Linked DNA regions of Caenorhabditis elegans. The protein of the gene in region 4 interacts with the protein of the main gene of each other region in a pairwise test. Each region holds a gene or a part of one and is shown on either strand. Other genes may lie near its edges.

Evidence for each region.
Region 1: the proteins of nova-1 (region 4) and cla-1 interact in a two-hybrid assay, tested with the Caenorhabditis elegans proteins (one large-scale study listed by BioGRID).
Region 2: the proteins of nova-1 (region 4) and snr-2 interact in a two-hybrid assay, tested with the Caenorhabditis elegans proteins (one large-scale study listed by BioGRID).
Region 3: the proteins of nova-1 (region 4) and C26C6.8 interact in a two-hybrid assay, tested with the Caenorhabditis elegans proteins (one large-scale study listed by BioGRID).

Annotation. Positions count from the first base shown.
Region 1 is NC_003282.8:7,608,849-7,613,736, reverse strand, and holds the start of cla-1 (Protein clarinet), read right to left. Parts: upstream 3,058-4,888; coding exon 2,975-3,057; intron 2,902-2,974; coding exon 2,840-2,901; intron 2,462-2,839; coding exon 2,393-2,461; intron 2,299-2,392; coding exon 1,985-2,298; intron 1,095-1,984; coding exon 1,050-1,094; intron 778-1,049; coding exon 728-777; intron 683-727; coding exon 635-682; intron 515-634; coding exon 98-514; intron 1-97. UniProt on the Caenorhabditis elegans protein: Required for synapse development in the active zone of presynaptic terminals of specific neurons including serotonergic NSM neurons.
Region 2 is NC_003279.8:13,337,411-13,340,742, reverse strand, and holds snr-2 (putative small nuclear ribonucleoprotein-associated protein B), read right to left. Parts: upstream 1,347-3,332; 5' UTR 1,313-1,346; coding exon 1,310-1,312; intron 1,257-1,309; coding exon 1,086-1,256; intron 1,030-1,085; coding exon 721-1,029; 3' UTR 519-720; downstream 1-518. Other genes in the region: ola-1 (Obg-like ATPase 1), read right to left, coding at 209-394; W08E3.4 (Major sperm protein), read left to right, coding at 1,855-1,899, 1,947-2,261, 2,570-2,735, 2,791-2,890, 3,056-3,128, 3,179-3,283. UniProt on the Caenorhabditis elegans protein: Plays a role in pre-mRNA splicing as a core component of the spliceosomal U1, U2, U4 and U5 small nuclear ribonucleoproteins (snRNPs), the building blocks of the spliceosome.
Region 3 is NC_003279.8:7,502,960-7,507,446, forward strand, and holds C26C6.8 (SH3 domain-containing protein), read right to left. Parts: upstream 2,684-4,487; 5' UTR 2,622-2,683; coding exon 2,579-2,621; intron 2,506-2,578; coding exon 2,414-2,505; intron 2,360-2,413; coding exon 2,207-2,359; intron 1,839-2,206; coding exon 1,725-1,838; intron 1,677-1,724; coding exon 1,456-1,676; intron 807-1,455; coding exon 617-806; 3' UTR 564-616; downstream 1-563. Other genes in the region: pbrm-1 (Bromo domain-containing protein), read left to right, coding at 1-108, 155-274; C26C6.6 (LIM zinc-binding domain-containing protein), read left to right, coding at 3,013-3,078, 3,124-3,189, 3,250-3,349, 3,509-3,687.
Region 4 is NC_003283.11:18,078,887-18,083,884, forward strand, and holds the start of nova-1 (K Homology domain-containing protein), read right to left. Parts: upstream 3,021-4,998; 5' UTR 2,945-3,020; coding exon 2,938-2,944; intron 1,155-2,937; exon of another isoform or gene 1,070-1,154; intron 1-1,069. Other genes in the region: fbxa-106 (F-box domain-containing protein), read right to left, coding at 3,572-3,760, 3,806-4,448, 4,498-4,585.

The DNA.
Region 1 (4,888 bases), on a different chromosome or scaffold from region 4:
TATTTTTGAATTCCCAGAAATAATTTCAGTGAAATTTGAAGCATTCATTGTGTTTCATAATCTTAAAATTTTGGTGTCTCATTGTCGGCTAACTAACCTTGGTGGCATTGGTGGTGGGCCTCTTGCAATGGGTTTTCGCACATTCTGCATATCAGCTTCTGCCATAACTGCCATAATTTTCATTCTTTCATCATCTGACAAATCATCGAGTCCAGGTGGTAATTCGGACATTATACTTGAACTCATAACACTGGGAGATCTTGTTGGAATTTGACTTGAAGGAGGAGGGAAACGTGCGCCCATCTCCATTTCTGCATTTGCCATAACTGACATGATCTTTTCTCTTTCTGCTTCCGAAAGATCCTCCATTCCTGCTGGAATATTTGATGAACCACTTGTGCTTGGTTTTACATTATTAACAGAATCGTCAAAGTCGGCTGCAGCCATAACTGACATGATTTGTCGACGTTCTTCTTCGGAAAGACCATCCATCGGAATACCGATTTGTGGAGAGCTGTAATTTCAAAATTAACCATTTAGGAAATGAAAATCAAAAGAAAAAAGAAGAGGGGAGGTAGAAAAGTGTACGTGCGGGGAGTAATCTGATATACTGGGAATGTTTTATGTTACTTACGGAATAGATTTGGTTGGAGCACTGGTGCCTAGGGAGGTTGAGGATTTGCTGAAATTGTTTTTTTTATAGTTGACTTGACAAAATATCAATTACCTGCTAGAGAAGACATTGTTGTTGACAATATTTGATGATGAAGAGGATGGCTGAAAAGTTTTTATTATTTTGAGGTTATTTAATTTATTTCAAAAAAATTAATTTACAGAAGTAATGTTTAAAAACATTAGCCGTTTTGTGAATTAGTTAATTGTTTGTTTATAATATTAATACCAAAAGCAGTTTCTCAAAAAAAAGTAATCAATCAAGTGAAAAACTCGTGAGCGTTTAGTCATGAGATCTAGATCAAAATCGTGTTACCATAATTGAATTGGGTCGGAAGCCCTACGGAAAGAGAATAAAAAGAAAAAAGTTCACTCACCTTGATGGGTACGGCGGCTTGGATTTGCGAACCCGCTTCCTTTGCCTGCAAAAAGAGCAATTATCGAAAGTGACAAGGAGAGAAGAGCACACGCATGTCTTCTCGCAAAAAATTAATGAGGCATGGGGGTCCCCCGAGCCGAATCCTAAAGTGTTTCTTTTTGTTGCACACCCTACATTTATGCATAAGCGACACATACAACAAAACATAAAAAAGTGGAAAATAGACCAAAACGATGGGTACATCTTTTGGAATGGTGTATGTGTGACCGCTAAAAAAAAAAAAGAAAAAAGGAAGAACAAATGATTGTATAGTGTTTGTTGGATGAGGGAACAACACATTTGCGTTATTTTGGAAAGACCGGAAAGTCGAATTCCGTGAGTAACGAGCCCATCGTAGCTGCTCTTGGAGAGTCAAAGACACTGCGAAATTGGTTTTGTATACTGACATTGAAATGGTTTTTTTTTTTTGAAAATGAATTCATGTAATATATAAATTTGTGTGTATAAAAAACTACTCATATTCTCAAAATGTTGCATGTAAAAGTTAGTTATTTTTAAGAAAAAATGCTGATTGAAGAGTTTCTTAGATGTTAACATAATTTCTATGTTTTTTTTCTAGAAAACAGTAAATTTGAATATAACAGAAAAAAACAAATTGTTGCAACATAATATGTTCTACATTATTGGAAAATCATTTCAAATATCCATACCAAATATCATAATAAAACCTGTCAAACAATTTTGGACAATTATTTATTTTCAGTCAAACAGCTCTAAAAAAAATAACAATTTCTATAGTGACTGAAAATATTTTGAATAGCTTCGCGCATTTACAGTTTCAAAAACGTAGTCTTTTGAGTTTTAGTTTTTTGTTCATGGTCTTTTTTCAAACGGTGAAGTCTGATAGGTCATAGTGAATATTCAATTACTTACCTTATTAATAGCATCATTTGCAATATTAGAAAGGAAGCCGAAATTGGGTCGCTTCAACATACGACTACCCGGCAGTGAATCGATGGGTGTCTGCTGCGCCCTCAACGACTCTTCTCTCTGCGTCTCAAATCCATCATCAAAAGCCTCACGACTACTACTCTTCGTCTTCTCCTCCTCTTCGTAGTTCTCCAGTTTTTGCTGCTCCACGGCGTCGTCACCATATTTTCTCTTTTCCCCTTCACCAATCGATCTTCCGGTGCCAAAGAAGGCAGAAGAAGTGGTGGGCTCATGGTGTTGGCTCTCTACGTCAATACCTGCAAATATATGTTTTTTTGCTTTGAGATTTGGTCTCTTCGTCTCGCTTTTTGATTTGTGCTATGAATTTTTCATTTTTGACAGAAAACTCACCTTCAAGGAAGTGAAGTTGATCCTCAACATACTCCAATGGGAACTCTTCAACGTCAGTTCGAATTTCATCTGAAATTTCAAAAATAAAAAAGTAAATAGAGAAGAAAAATGTAATATTTGTATTACATAGGTCTAATGAAATTATATTCAGTCATTTCTTTTATTTGGACGTTTTTCTGAGTCAAAAACAGAGTGGATAGTGGAAAATTTTGAAAGTTCAGATAAAAGTCTGCTGATTGCAATTAGAATTGTTTTTTGTAGAATTAAGAATTAATTAAACACTCTTGTAAAATATTTTTGATAACATTTTATCTAGCTTTTGCTTTCTTTGCTGTAGAAATTCTCTTGTCGAGTAGAATTTGTTTTAGCAAATTATACTAGGTAGGTGAGTAGGCCTCTGTGTACCTACACTGAAGCGCATAAAAGTTTTTTTTTTAAACCACTTACGCCCCACATCTTCTTCCTCATCGTGGATCGATTGTCGCATGAAACTGAGTTGCTCCTCATACCTGAACAAAATAGTAAAATTGAAACACTAATTTTCAAAAAGAAAAAAAAAGGTTTATTAAAAATTCAGCATACCACTTTCCGATATCCGACTCGGACTCTTGCCTAATCTCTGATATACTTCTAATGTCGTATTCACTACTCTTCCGTGACGCCATCGAATCTGCTGATGGCGTCGGAGACACAGTCTGAAAATCATAAAATCCTGTTGGATAGTAGTGTTTAGTAGTCAAAAAAGGGGAAAAGTTGAAAATCTGGGAGTTGTCACGCTATCTGCATAATATTTAATGACACCGTTGCATTGCCACGGCATGCATAGCAACATGGTGAATGTGAAAAAAAAGTATTTATGGCTGGGAAAATAGAAACAGCTCGCACACAAAAAACAACGTCTATTTCTCACCTTCTGAGCCATAATAGGACCCTGGGGCTCTTCAGTTGTGTCAAGTGCAGCAGGAGATGTAACTCGATCTGGAGAGAAGCCGCTCGTTAGCACTTGAGCATTGTTGTTATCGAAGGAGCCGCTGGCGCCTGAACTTGCATCTTCTTGTTCATCGAATATATCAGCACCTGATGTTGCATCTGATCCACTTTCTGTTATTGGTTCTTCTTCTTCATCTTGAACTGGTTCAGCAGTGAATGGAGTGTTATAATCCATATCAGCCATCTCAGCAATTCTTGCAATATGGTCAAGCTCTTCTTGAGTGAGATCTTGCTCAAAGTGTTTAGAAGGAGGAGGAGGAGGTGGAGTCAACGAAACCTTATGAGTAATCGATCTTTGGGTGGCAGGAAGTTGGACATCTTGTGCAGCCATTGCAGTAATCTTTGCTATATGATCAAGTTCCTCTTGAGTTAGTTCTGGTGGTTCGAATATTTTTACAGGAACATCATATTCTGCTGATGCCATTTCAGCTATGCGAGCAATATGATCAAGTTCTTCCTGAGTAAGTGATGTCTCGGATGGTTTTCCTGTTGGAGGTGGTAGAGTACTGATGTCCATAGATGCCATTCCTGTGATCTTAGCGATATGATCAAGTTCTTCTTGAGTAAGTTCAGATTCAACTGGAGCAGGATGTTCAGAAACAATTGAAGGATACATTCCAAAGTCTTCATTTGCCATTGCAGCTATTCGAGTAATGTGATCTATTTCTTCTTGGGAGAGCTCCGGTTCATTTTGTTTAACTTGAGGAGTTGGTAGAGTTTGTAGATCAGTGTTATCTTCAGTAGCCATAGCTGTTATTCTTGCAATGTGATCAATTTCTTCTTGCGATAGAGTTGGTTCTTCAACATGATAATTAATTGGCACTGGCATTGTCGCAACTCGTTGCTCTTGTTGGATAAAGGGAGATGGCGCATTTAAATCTTCGGAAGCCATCGCCTCGATCCTTGCAATATGTTCTTTTTCTTCTTCCGTTAGTTCTATTTCAATTTGCTGTGTTGGATGTGTTGAAACGTATGGTGTATTAAAATCTTCTTCAGCCATTGCAGCGATTCTGGAAATATGTTCACGCTCTTCTTCAGAAAGTTCAATTTCAGACGGCTGCGCAAACACTGGAGTAGCTGTCGAAGCTGGGAATCTATCAATTGCACCATCGTCCCTACTATAATTTTCATCATAAATTGGCGCGACAGCTCCTTTAACAGGATGTGTAAAGTCCTCGTCAGCCATTGCAGCTATTCGAGCAATGTGATCCATTTCTTCCATTGAAAGTTCAATATCTTTTTGGATAATTGAAGGAGGAGGAACAATGATTTTAGATTGTGAATCATCCGCTGCCATAGCCTCAATACGAGCGATATGATCTTTCTCTGCTTGTGACAATCCTTGATTCATATTAACTGCGGGTTGTTCAAAGTCTTCCGCTGCCATAGCATTAATTCTGGCAATGTGATCTATTTCATCTTGTGTGAGCTCTTGCTTAGATTCTTGCTGAGCACTTTCAGTAGCCTGTGCAATGTTATCTAGCTCTTCTTGGGTTAGACCACTAA
Region 2 (3,332 bases), on a different chromosome or scaffold from region 4:
TATTTCAAGCAAAAATCTATGTAAAACAGCTCTTGGGGCTATTTTAAATGTTAAATAATTAAATAAATAGTCCAAAAATCCAGTGAAAACTGTAAAATTTTGCAAAAATCAGTTTTCCGCGTGTATTACACCGAAAATCAAAGGACTTCGCACGATTGGAAAGGCTTAAAATCAGAGGATTCCGCTGGAATTTTCCAGAAGAACGTACTCTGCTCTCATTCGGATCGATGGTGCAGAACGGGAAGTTTTCAGCCTGTGCTTCGGATTTGGTGAGCACATTGAAGAATGTCGACTTTCCAACGTTCGGAAGACCCAGAATTCCGACTTTAAGGTTGGTACCAAGACGTCCGATCAACGCGGGCTTCTCCTCGACGACGTTCTTCTTTGGAGGCATCTTTTTGATGGTTCCCTGACGACTTTTAAGTGTTTTACAATAAAAAAAAGATGAGAATTTAGAAGATAGAGAATTCTGGGTTTAAAACCATTGAGCTATCAAAAACCTAGCCTACTGAATCTCTCAAAATTCAAAAAGTTTATTCCAGATTCTGAACAGCTTACGAAGATTGGTGGGTGATGGGAAGATCTCGATCACCCGAGAGAGTATCGATAAATTAAATATATAATTAAAGGTATTTCTACCACAAAAAATGAAAAGAACAGAGAAAAATACAAGATCGGTGGGAAAAATGATAGAAACATGCGGATTTGGATAGCAAAATTTTAGAATGGACGTCCTCCTGGTGGGCCGCCATATCCTGGCTGCATGGCTGCCATTCCTGGTCCTCCGTGTCCGCGCATGGCTCCAGAGAGGCCTCCTGGTGCTCCGCCTGGTGGCATTCCCGGCATTCCTGGCATAGCTGGCATTCCACGGCCTCCTGGCTTGGCTTGTCCGACACCTCCAGCTCCTCCGGCCTTGGCGAGTCTCACTGAATCGTCATCTCTTGGTGGTGGTCCGTCGACGGTCATCGAGACGATATGTTCTCCGCGGACCAGTACGAGGCCGAGAATTCGCTTTTCTTCTCCATCGGTCTGAAAATAAAATGGTTTTTGTCTTCAATCAACGCTGCAGAAACAGAAAACAATACCTTCTTTCCGGCCTTTGGCTTGATTTGTCTGTGTTCCTCGCACTCTGCGAGTAAAATGTTCATATGCTTGTCGAAAGCCTTGAAAAATCCGATGAAGGTTCTACCGTCCTGAAGGATGATCTTCATCCTGTAGTTGAGATGAGCCATCATCTTATTATTCTTGGAGATAGTCTGAAAAGAAAATATTTTGTATTTATCTCCATGAGAACTGTAGAAAAACTTACCATCTTGAGGCGTTGGTTGTGATTTTTTGTCTAGGACCTGGAAATAAGAATATTGAAGTTTTACTCTTTCAAAATGAAAGAAATTAAAGAGTTCTGATGATACAAGAGATGAAACAAACGAATATTTCTGCAAAACAACTTCTAAAAGTCACAAGAACCGTTTGAAAACCGATCGTTTGAAATTACATAAATACCGGCGAGAAATCAAGGTTTTGAAATTGATTGAAATTTTAAGCGATGAAGAACCTTTAAATTCACTAATTTTTCAATTTTTTCGAAAGAAAATCTTAAAAATCAACTGAAAACCGACAAAACAAGCTGAAAATCAGCCAAAACTGCTGGAGAATAATTCGAAAATCTAGAGACGCCGCAACGAGACCCATTCGTATAAATGCGTGCGCCTTTAAATCGATTTGCGCGGCAGTTCAAATAAAAAAGGCGTGACCCCACGGAAAGCAGAAATTGGGGAAGAGAAGGTGAGGGGAGGGGTATAAAAAATGCAAAAATCGATTATTTCGAATATTAGTCCAATCGAAGAGTGGTGAATGGAGCAGTCTAACGGTCATAAGTTGTATGTCGTGTTGGATCAAGTGAGAATTTTCGAAAATTTCTTGAATTATCCGGTAATTTTATTCAGACATTCGTGTGTTTCGATATTGATCAACCAAAAAATGCGTGTCAAAAGTTGAAATTGAATAGTTTAGCTGGTGTTGGACCAATTTATTGGAGATTTCTGGTATTTAAGCTCAGGTGTGAGCAGCCTCTGGAATATCTGAATTTTTTCAAGACAAATGCTCCAACTCGATATTTCATAACCCCAAATCAGGCTGTTTTGCGTGACGATGAGCCGATTGAAGTGTGTATCACACTTTATCAGAACAAGTTCCGACCGAGACATGAAATCGTGCTTCAAGCTGCATCAATTCCAGAATGTGGAGATTTCGACCCGAAAGTTGGTTTTATTTTCGTACAATAATTGAATATCATATAAAAAAAATAAAGTAAAACTTTTCGAAAACCTTCAGAAAAGATGATATTTCAAGTTGAAAACCGAAAAGCTGTCAGTTTTCGCTAAATTCCGATTTGAATTTCCGCGTTTTTTGTGAGAGCGTTGTTCGATGGAGCGCGCTTGCATTTGACAAAAACGCGCAAATTCAAATTGCAATTAAGCAAAAAAACTGAAAGATTCTCGATTTTCAGCTGAATTTCAGCTTGAATTAAAAACTTTACAAAAAAAAAGAAAGTAATTTTTCCCTACAGAAACTCTTCGATTCTCCGGAAAATGTCCAATCCATCTCCCTGGATCTCGGCACAACCATCATGAAAATCGAGTCGGCAGTGGAGATTTCAAAGACGGCAACCGATTTTCATACGGCTCTCGACGCGTCTTCAGTGATTGGTTCGGATCGTGTGGATCAGCTTAAGTGTAATAGAGCGCGTTTGCTTCGTTTTTTTTAATTTTAAATTTGCGAAAATTTCAGCGATTCTAAACCTGACGAAAAGTGACACAGCACTGCTTGAATCTAATATAACTCAGGCAAAACAGCTGAAAATCACTTTGGATGCACAATTGCAACAAAGGTAGTTTTGAATTTTTTCCGGGTCTCGCCACGATCGCGTGCGCCTTTAATGGTGTATCAAAATTTAAAAAAAAAACGGATTAAAAACTACAGTACCCCTTATAGGCGCACACTCTTTACATAAAAGTTTTGATCGTGTCGAGACCCGATACAACTCAAATTTCAGAAAAGCTCTGGTCGATGAGTACAAGTCGAAACTGACAGTGCTGGAAGGAAGTTACATGCGCAAAAGTGCAGAGGTACTGAGATTTTTTATTTTGAAAAATTTAAAAAAAAACTTGAATTTCAGGTTCAACGTCTCCAAAACGAGCTTCAAAATGCTCAGAAGGCTCATGCAATGAAAGCCACCACTGCTCCAAATGAGAAAAATCAAGCAAATTGCTCAATTTCTTGAATAAAACGAATAAACTTTCAAATTGAAACATCCCGCCTTTTTTATCGAA
Region 3 (4,487 bases), on a different chromosome or scaffold from region 4:
GCCCAGAATCGACAGAAGTCGGTAAGCCGATGGGAACGAACTCTAGGAGCAACTGCCAGGAATACCCAACCAGCTGGAAATGCCCGCGCTCCATCTCATTGGATAAGGGTTAGTTCGACTATTTCTTCTTGTAAAATATATTTCATAATTTCAGAGAATTGAAAACGGACGACCTGTAGCTCGCGAAGAGGATGTTACAAAAGCTTTGTGGAAACTTCGCGATGAATTGTTGAAGAGTACGTGTAGTCTTGTAATGGACCGACCAACTCAATGAAATCAGTGGATCTCTTGTTAAAATTTTATGCAATTTTTATAACTTTATCATAATTATCCTACCCTATCTCGCCTCCCCGTTCAATCCAGAAAACAAGAATCTCTTTTTCTTTTAATGTATTTTCTGATAACCAGTTATGTGTGCTCCTTCTGTTTTTATCCTCTCATGATTCCCACGAATACCTTAAATCCTATTTATTTTCAATAATTTATTCGTTTCTTGATTGTATTTCTTACTACCCACTTCAGTCACTAAATTTATTATCATTTCCAATTCACCTTTTTTTAAAATATTTTTATTAATGGGTCGGGTATGAAACAAATTCAAACGATAAATCAAACATCAAAGATCTGTCGCCAAAATTACAACTTTATTCGGGATAAATCCCTGCTTCTCGTCAGCGATTCGGACGGCCCACAACCAATCATCTACTGGTCTTCCAGTGCATTTTATCCATTCACCTGGTCGGACTGTTAGATCAAGAGGTGATCTTCCAGAAAAAGGTTCGACTACGAGAAGATTTTCATTTTCCCTAAAAATTAAATAAATTTGCCAAGCCAAAATATAATCAGTTTATTTCGCAATCTTTTGAAACGCAAGCACGAGAAAAACATTTATGGCAGTAGTTTTTTATCTTGCAACGGCCCTTTTGCTTTTTTCGGGAATTTCGTGAACAATTTTAAAGTCGATTCTTTTGATTTTTTATTACCCATACGCGAAACTTTGCAATTTTTGCGCCAAAAATATGGTACTCAATCTCGACACGACAATATTTTTTATCAAATGTAAACGGATGTGCGCCTTTAAAGGGTACTGTAGCTTCAAACTTTCGTTGTTGAGGAATTTGCATAGATTTTTCATAATTCTCCGTTAAAAAATGTATTTATTTATTTTAAAAAACCACAAAACACATATATTTTATTTTACTAATCGTGAGAAAAACTATGAGCACGAAAAGTTGTATTTACATTACAGTAGTCTTTAAAGGCGCACACGTTTTCACACTTAACAAAATTGTTATCGTGTCGAGACCGGGTACTGTATTTTTGGCGCAAAAATAACAAATTTTCGCGTCTTCTGAGTCTTTTAATTCTGAAAAAAAAAACAGAATAACACCCATGACCCATCTGAATAAGTCCGTACACCTTTAAGCGTTTCAGAAAACTGCGAACTTACGATACCATTTTTCTTTAATGACACGGCTAGCTTGTTGCAATATTTCATGTGGAATCTTAACATGGGAAGAAGGTACAAAACCAGATTGATTGTCCGAATTTCGAATATAGGTCCACTCAGGATCTGATATATTCAAAACTGTGACAGATTCTCCATCTTTCACAGATATATCATCTGGAGCTGATCCATCAAATGACTGTAGTATTTGAACTTCGCATATCTCATCCTGCAGATAGTATCAAAAGAATATTCAATAGCTTTATTCAAAACAAACCATTTTAAAAACCTCTCCTTCTTCTTTTTGAACAGGAAGACTGTCGATAAATCTCTGCAAATTTGATTTTTCCCAACGGCGATCAAGTGTCGCGCTGGATCCGATCACCTTTTTCTGAAAAGTATTTGATTTGATTTCTCAACGGTTCCATTCCCGAAATTCTTGGAGATCAAACCGAAATGGGACTCTCTGACATCACGTGGCTTCTAAGTTGTTCTCACTAAAGGTGACAATGATTTTCACCACTTTTCTTCGATTTTTCAATGACAAAACTATGAAATATCTATGAAATATTGGAAATAATTAGGAGTGTGGTTACAGTAATTCGCAAGGCGCACATTCTTTTGCGCATATTTCGGTCGTGTCGAGACCGGATACAGTAGTTTTAAATGAATATCATTAAATGCCACAATTACACGTGTTGTTGCATTCTTTAAGATTTGCACTAAAAATAACTTTTCTAGAACATCTAAAACGCTCACCTTTTCACCGTGTTTTGAATTCAAAAGCAATTTACAATATGTCTGTGGAACAAATCCTTTTCTTCCATCAGATACCTCAACATAAATCCATTGATCATCTCGATAAATTGCTTTAACTGTAGTGCCACGGGTTACACTAATTTCGTCAGCAACCTTAAAAGTGAGAGGTTAGAAATTGGGGTAATTTGGAAAAACTGAAAACTATACAGTTGCTGTGAAGTTTTTTGTTAGTTGTCCTGGAGTATAAGGATCAAAATGATCCACTTGCATACTGTCAACCCATCCACCATTATCGGGCACTGAAATTCATTTTTGGAGGTTTTATTTTTAATCAGCTAAAATTAGAAAAAAAATGGGACAAACTGTGCTCACCTCTTCCAGATACAACTTTCCAAAAAATGCTCCTAATGCCCATTGTTTTTGTGCGACGAAAAGCCAATGAATTGCTCACAAAACACGGTTAATCAACAGAGGCATGTCAAATTATTGTTTGTTCACCGAAAATTGGATCTGATTGGAAAAAAAGATGGAGTCTCGGGAGGGAAAGGCATGAAAGGCGGACAGTATTATTTGGCTTCAGTATAATGGCTTATTTTGCCCTAGAAATAAGGAATCTGTGATATTTTATGTATTTTGGAGATTACCATGCAGAGATGCATAAACTTTTGTATCTTGTTTGGAAGTTTTCAATTAAAAACCAATAAATTTTAATACCAGTTACGTGGCAACCGCTTACTAAATACAAATTCGGAGGCGAAGAATACAATTTTAATAAAAAATAATTTATTTCCAAATAAACTAGAAAAATGACTATTGAGTTTATCAATTGTGCAGGATGTAAAGCCAAAATCGCCGAGGAGGATGTCGAAAAGGTAAATCCACAATTGGTGTATTTCCTTTAAAAAAGTAATTTTTAGAACAAAGTTGTCTTCTTTCTGAATCGAATGTGGCATCGGGATCATATTCAATGCATTTTTTGTAAAGTTAGTTTTGGAAGCGTTCGGAAAAAAGCACTTCCAAAATTTCAAAATATCCAATTTTAGCTTCAAATCTCGGACAATCGTTATTTCCGTTCATCAATTGATCCAATGAAACCATCATGTTATGCATGTCATATTCAAACAAATCATCCATCTTGCACAGGTATTTTTAGTTCTTCGAAGTACTGATTAGTAGAAATTAAAAATTGAATGATATGGCTTGTGAATTCGGTTTTGCACGGGTTATACGAACTTTGATTACTCAGCTACATATAGGAAAGATTAGAGCCCCTTACGATTACTTAAAAAACAAATTTTACAGGATGCTCATTGCCAGTAATTGAACGAGGACTTGTTGCATTTAATCGTCTCTTTCATATTGATTGTTTCCGTTGTGCAATCTGTAACAAGACAATTCCTCAAAGAAAAGGATTTTATGAACGTGATATGATGTTTTATGATGACGTTTGTTATATGCTTCATATCAAAGATGTTCTATAACATATTGAACTTATTTGAAAAAATAATGAATAGATTTTGAACGGTTTAAAGTGTATTTTTGTGGGTTAACTATAATTTCTAAGATACTGATTTTTGAGAGATTTCAAGACAAATAGGGAGTAAAGTAGTCCCTTTCGGAACAATTTTTCTGTGATTTCTCTTGTTCACTGACAAAAACTGAACAATTTCAGTGTTTCATCTAATTAAAACATTTTTTTATCAGAAACATTGGACTTTTTTAAAATTTATAACACGATTTTTGAAATTTTACACATTTTGAAAAATGCAATTTCTGAATCCAGAGTTTTGTCAATTTTTCAATCAATTTATAGAACTTGCAAAAGTGAAACAATAATTATAATATTTGAAACATCACAATCATAATGAGCATCCTTCTGTTCTTTCATCATTTAACCTCCTCCATTCAAGTAGTAAAGTGTGCATCTAGTAACTTCACACCACAAAATGTTTCTGTGGGAGAAGAGCTACGGGATGGATGAGATGTGTCACCTGTGTCAGATCAAAATGACGTCATATAGATCTTAGTTTTCTTTTTCGAGTAACTACGTACTCGAAAATGTTTTGTGACTTTTTAAACATGTCAGTGTCAATCTTTTAATAATTTTTTTTTGTTTTTTGTTTCTGTCTGATTTTTTTTTGTGTAATAGTCTTGAAATCTTTTTGAAATCTAAAAGTCTTCTCAAGTCTCAATTCACTATTTCAATATTTGTCATTTTTACGTTTTTACAGAGAAACTAAACATTTAACTTTTGTTTCAGATGAAGTTTTGGCATATTTCC
Region 4 (4,998 bases):
AATCATCAGGAAAACTGCTCAAAATTACAGCAAAACTGGCGATTTTTACCAAGTTTTATGGTCTGCCAGACTACATACTACACAAAATGTATTTAGCAGACCCAGAATCCATTTTTCTTGCATTTTTTATTGATCAGCGTTAAAATTTGCAATTTTCGTGATTTTCAACCCACTTTTCAGCAAAAAATTCAGCTTTTGAAGAAAAATCGTAGAGAAAAACCGATTTTACGATTATATTTGATAATTTAGAAGGAAAGCTCGATTTTGAAACGAAAAATCGAATTTTTTGCAAATTTTCACACGCAATTTCGAGAAAATCGCGTAAAAAACCAAAAATTTGTACGAAACCAAAAAAAAAAACGGAACGCGTCCTCCTTCGAAAAAAGAGCGCGTAAATACGAAGAAATGAGTCAGTTGACGGACACAATGATGAGATGAAGAGACGGCAGACAACGAGAGGTTCCATGTTTTCTCTCGTCTCTCTCAGCTCTCAATGCTCTCTAATCGTCGTCACTTTTTGTCCCTCGCCAACATCGAAAATCGATGGGATTTGTTGGTGGGACACTTGGCAGCATGCCAAGTGTTATTCGGAGAGCAGATGGCCAAAAAGAACGGCGAGAGCGGGGCAATTTGGCAAAAAAAAATCGATTTTTTCCTAAATGTGGGAGAAAATTAGCGAATTTTAATGCTGATTAATAAAAAATGCATGAAAAAATCCAAAAATTCGCGAAAAAAAAATGGATTTTGGGTCTGCTAAATACAATTTTTGTAGTTTGTAGTCTGGCAGACCATAAAACTTGGTAAAAATCGTCAATTTTGCTGTTATTTTGAGCAGATTTCTGATTTTTTCGCGGGAAAAAAATTCAAATCTTGCATTTTCGCGGAATTTTTCAGGAAAAATTAACGATTATTGCCTTAAAAAATCAATTTTCACACAGAATTACGCATAAAATCACAATTTTTCGCCAAAAAACCGTTTAAAAAAAATGCATATTTTTCTATGGGAAACCGAGTTTTTTCCGTCTAAATCTGCTTATATTCACCTAAAACGCAAAATTTCGTCGAAAAAAATATGGGTCTGCTAAATACATTTTGTAGTTTGTAGTCTAGCAGACCTACTCTCAGAAATTTGGTCTGCTAGACTACAAACTACAAAAAACGCTAGCATACCAATCGAAAAATTGAGAGATTTTCGTCAGATTTTGAGAGGAAAATGATTTAAAAACGAGGTTTAAAGCAATTTTTCAAATTTTTTTCAAAAAATTCCAGAAAAACCGGCTTTTCTGGAATTGGGGAGGAAAATTAGTGAATTTTAATGCTAATTGGTCAAAAATACAAGAAAAAATAAAAAAAATTCGCGAAAATTTTTTTTTTGGGTCTGCTAAATACATTTTGTGTAGTTTGTAGTCTGGCAGACCATAAAACTAGGTAAAAATCGTCAATTTCGCTGTGATTTTGGGCAGTTTTCCTGATTTTTTCGCTGGAAAAATTCAAATTTTGAATTTTCTCGCAATTTGAATATGAAAATTCACGAAAATTGACTCAAAAATCGATTTTTACAGAGAAATATGAGTAAAATCACAATTTTCGCCAAAAAACCGTCTAAGAAAACGAAAAATTCATATTTTTCTATGGGAAACCGAGTTTTTTCCGTCTAAATCTGCGTATTTTCACATGAAAACGCAACATTTAGTCGAAAAAACTATGGGTCTGCCAAATACGTTTTGTAGTTTGTAGTCTAGCAGACCCACTCGGGTCTGCTAGACTACAAACTACAAAAAACGCTAGCAGACCAATCGAAAATTTGAGAGATTTCGTTAGATTTTGACAGAAAAATTGATTTAAAAACGAGATTTAAAGTAATTTTTTAATTTTTTCAGCAAAAAATTCCAGAAAAACCGGTTTTTCTGGAATTGGGGAGGAAAATTAGTGAATTTTAATGCTAATTGATCAAAAATGCAAGAAAAAAATCAAAAAAATTCGCGAAAAATGTTTTTTTTTGGGTCTGCTAAATACATTTTGTGTAGTTTGTAGTCTGGCAGACCATAAAACTTGGTAAAAATCGCCAATTTTGAGCATTTTTTCCTGATTTTTTTGCGGGAAATATCTCAAAATGTGCATTTTCTCGACATTTTAATGTGAAAATTCACGAAAATTGACTTAAAAAATCAATTTTCACAGAGAATTATGCATAAAATCACAATTTTCGCCGAAAAAACTCTGAAAATACGAAAAATTCATATTTTTTGTCGGTTTTCTGTGAAAAACTGAGTTTTTTCCTTTAAATCTGCTTAATTTCACCTGAAAACGCAAAATTTAGTCGAAAAAGTGATGGGTCTGCTAAATACATTTTGTAATTTGTAGTCTGGCAGACCCAATCTCAGAAATTTAATCTGCTAGACTACAAACTACAAAAAACGCTAGCAGACCAATCGAAAATTTGAGAGATTTCGTTAGATTTTGACAGAAAAATTGATTTAAAAACGAGATTTAAAGCAATTTTTCAATTTTTTCAGCAAAAAATTCCAGAAAAACGGGTTTTTTAAGGCAAAATTCAGTTTTTTAGAACTTTTGTAACAATAAAAACTGCAATTTTACCGGAAAACCAGTAGAATTTAAATTTTAACTCATAAATTATACAGTCAAATTTTAAGTCAATTTTCTTGCAATTTTCGTCAAAACGGCGTAGTTTTACCCAAAAACTTGCTGAAAAGTCGAAAAATCTGGATTTTGGCGTAAATTCCACCATTTTCAGCCGAATTTTTCCGATTTTTATCGAATTCAAACATTATTTTGCCGGAAAATAAGACAAATCAAACAATTCTGTGAGAAATATCAATTTAGGATGGAAAAATTGCGGAATTAATGGAAAAATTGAATCCTAAGAGGTATTTTTTTTTTCGAATTTTACCTTTTTCAAGTTGAAAAAGCACGAACCTTCCATTGCGCTTGTTAATTCCTTCAGTTTTTCGTCGAAAATCAGCAAAAAAGCGCCGAAAATTGGGTGAAAAGTTCGAAAATTGGAAAAAAATTTATTTTTTTTTATTGCGCCGTACTACGGTAGACAGAACACGCCGTGCGGTGTTTGCGGAGTTGTGTACCGTAGTCCGGTTTTTAAATTGAAGTTAATTTAAAATGTTTTCAAAATTATTGATTTTTAATGAAATTTCCTGAATTTTAGAGTCAAAAATTGGTTAGAAATCGTGAAACTTGAGAGAAAATCGTCGAAACTCTCAATATTCCGGGTTGAAATTCAATTTTTCATCTATATTGAAACAAAAAATCATTTTCTCAAAAAAAGAAAATCGTGAATACTTGAGGTTTTGTATAATTTGCACCGGTTATCCATGCATTTCCATGCAAATTAGTTAAAAAATCTAATAAATTTCAATTTTTCACTTATAGTTTTTCTCACAATTTCCAGCAAATTTTCGGGAAAATCTCCACTTTTCAACAAGGTTTGCAATTTAATACAAAAATGTCTCAAAATTGTAATTTAACAAGAAAAAAAACAGATTTCAACAAAACAGTTTATTTTAATGAGAACCACACGAGTGAACAACAGTTTAATTTATTTCTTCTTTTCGATTTTGATAGAAATATGATCGTATAAGAGGCTGAAGTGAGAGCCATTGTCATAGTCAACGCGAAAAGGTCTTCTAGCAATGAAATTTGGATTGAAAACTCGCACAACTCCAACGCTGAAGATATTTCTAGAAGTGATGATTCCAGACTCAAAAACAGTCGATTTCAAGAGAATCTGGAAAAAATGACAATTTTTTTGAAGGAACATTAAAAAACTAACATCTCTGATTTTAACAGCATCAGCGACAGAAAGATACGCCGTATCAATGAAGAAGTGGGTAAGATGGAAGAGATTTTCAATTGGGAAATGCTTCTCTCCATATGAATCAATAAAAATCGACTTGGCTCTTTTCCATTGCTCCATTTCAAATAATTGATCGACGTAATCTGGATTCCCGCTGCAGTAAATGCAAATTTCTTCTAGAAATCCTGGTTGAAGAAGCGGAAAAATTGTTGCGGCAAAAGTTGGAAGATTAATGGAAAAGTCGATTCTTTTTACCTTGTAGAGGTTTTTTGAATCGGACATTTCTTTGAACCAATTCATAAATGTTTCCTTCTTTTGAATACGATCATATCCTTGGAATTCAAGGACTTCCAATTGAAGTTTCGAGTTCTTCATCACCACTGACAAGTCTGTCTCAGCCATTTTCAAGCCGTTCACTCCTTTAAAGCGCTCATTCCGATCATTGTAGTTTACTGTGCAATGCGAATGACTGAAATCATAGTGAATTACAGTAGATTTTGCGTCAAGCAGCCACATCTGGAATTGAGAGTGATGGATGTTAAGTACAACGCGCTTGATTCCAGGATCCTTATTATCGACGATTGCACGAAAGTTGCGGCAGACTTTACGGACAGAAAGCCTGAAATTTTCAATTTAATTAATCCTCCAAAAACTAGTTCTGATTATACCGTTCGATTGGTTCAACCTTTTCCACAATTTTATGAATGACGTCCAATGGCAAATTCGACATCGATGGAGCCTTGGAGCACGGCCTCTCTCAATTTCATTTATTTCAAAATTCCTCTTTTTCTCTCACACTCTCTCACGTGAGATTGAAAATTGAATAATATATGTGTTTTTAAATTAAATTCAAAATATTGACGAAGAAACAACTTTGGTATAAATACTGATTTGTTAGGACCGATACCAAATGGTAATTTTCGGACATATTTGATCTCGTAGACAACGGCTCACTATTTCAGTGATCTTTAAAGTAATAAAAAATTCTTCAAAGTTTGGTACAGAGAAACTGAAGTAGTTACATTTGTAGAAACTTACATAACTTATAAACCTACCGTATTCCTATCGTACCCAATTACCGTATTTCCTCTATTAGTCTTGAATGCAAGACTAATTTTCAATTGACCCGTAGGGGTGCAAGACTAATAGAGTCCGCATGACTGATTTTC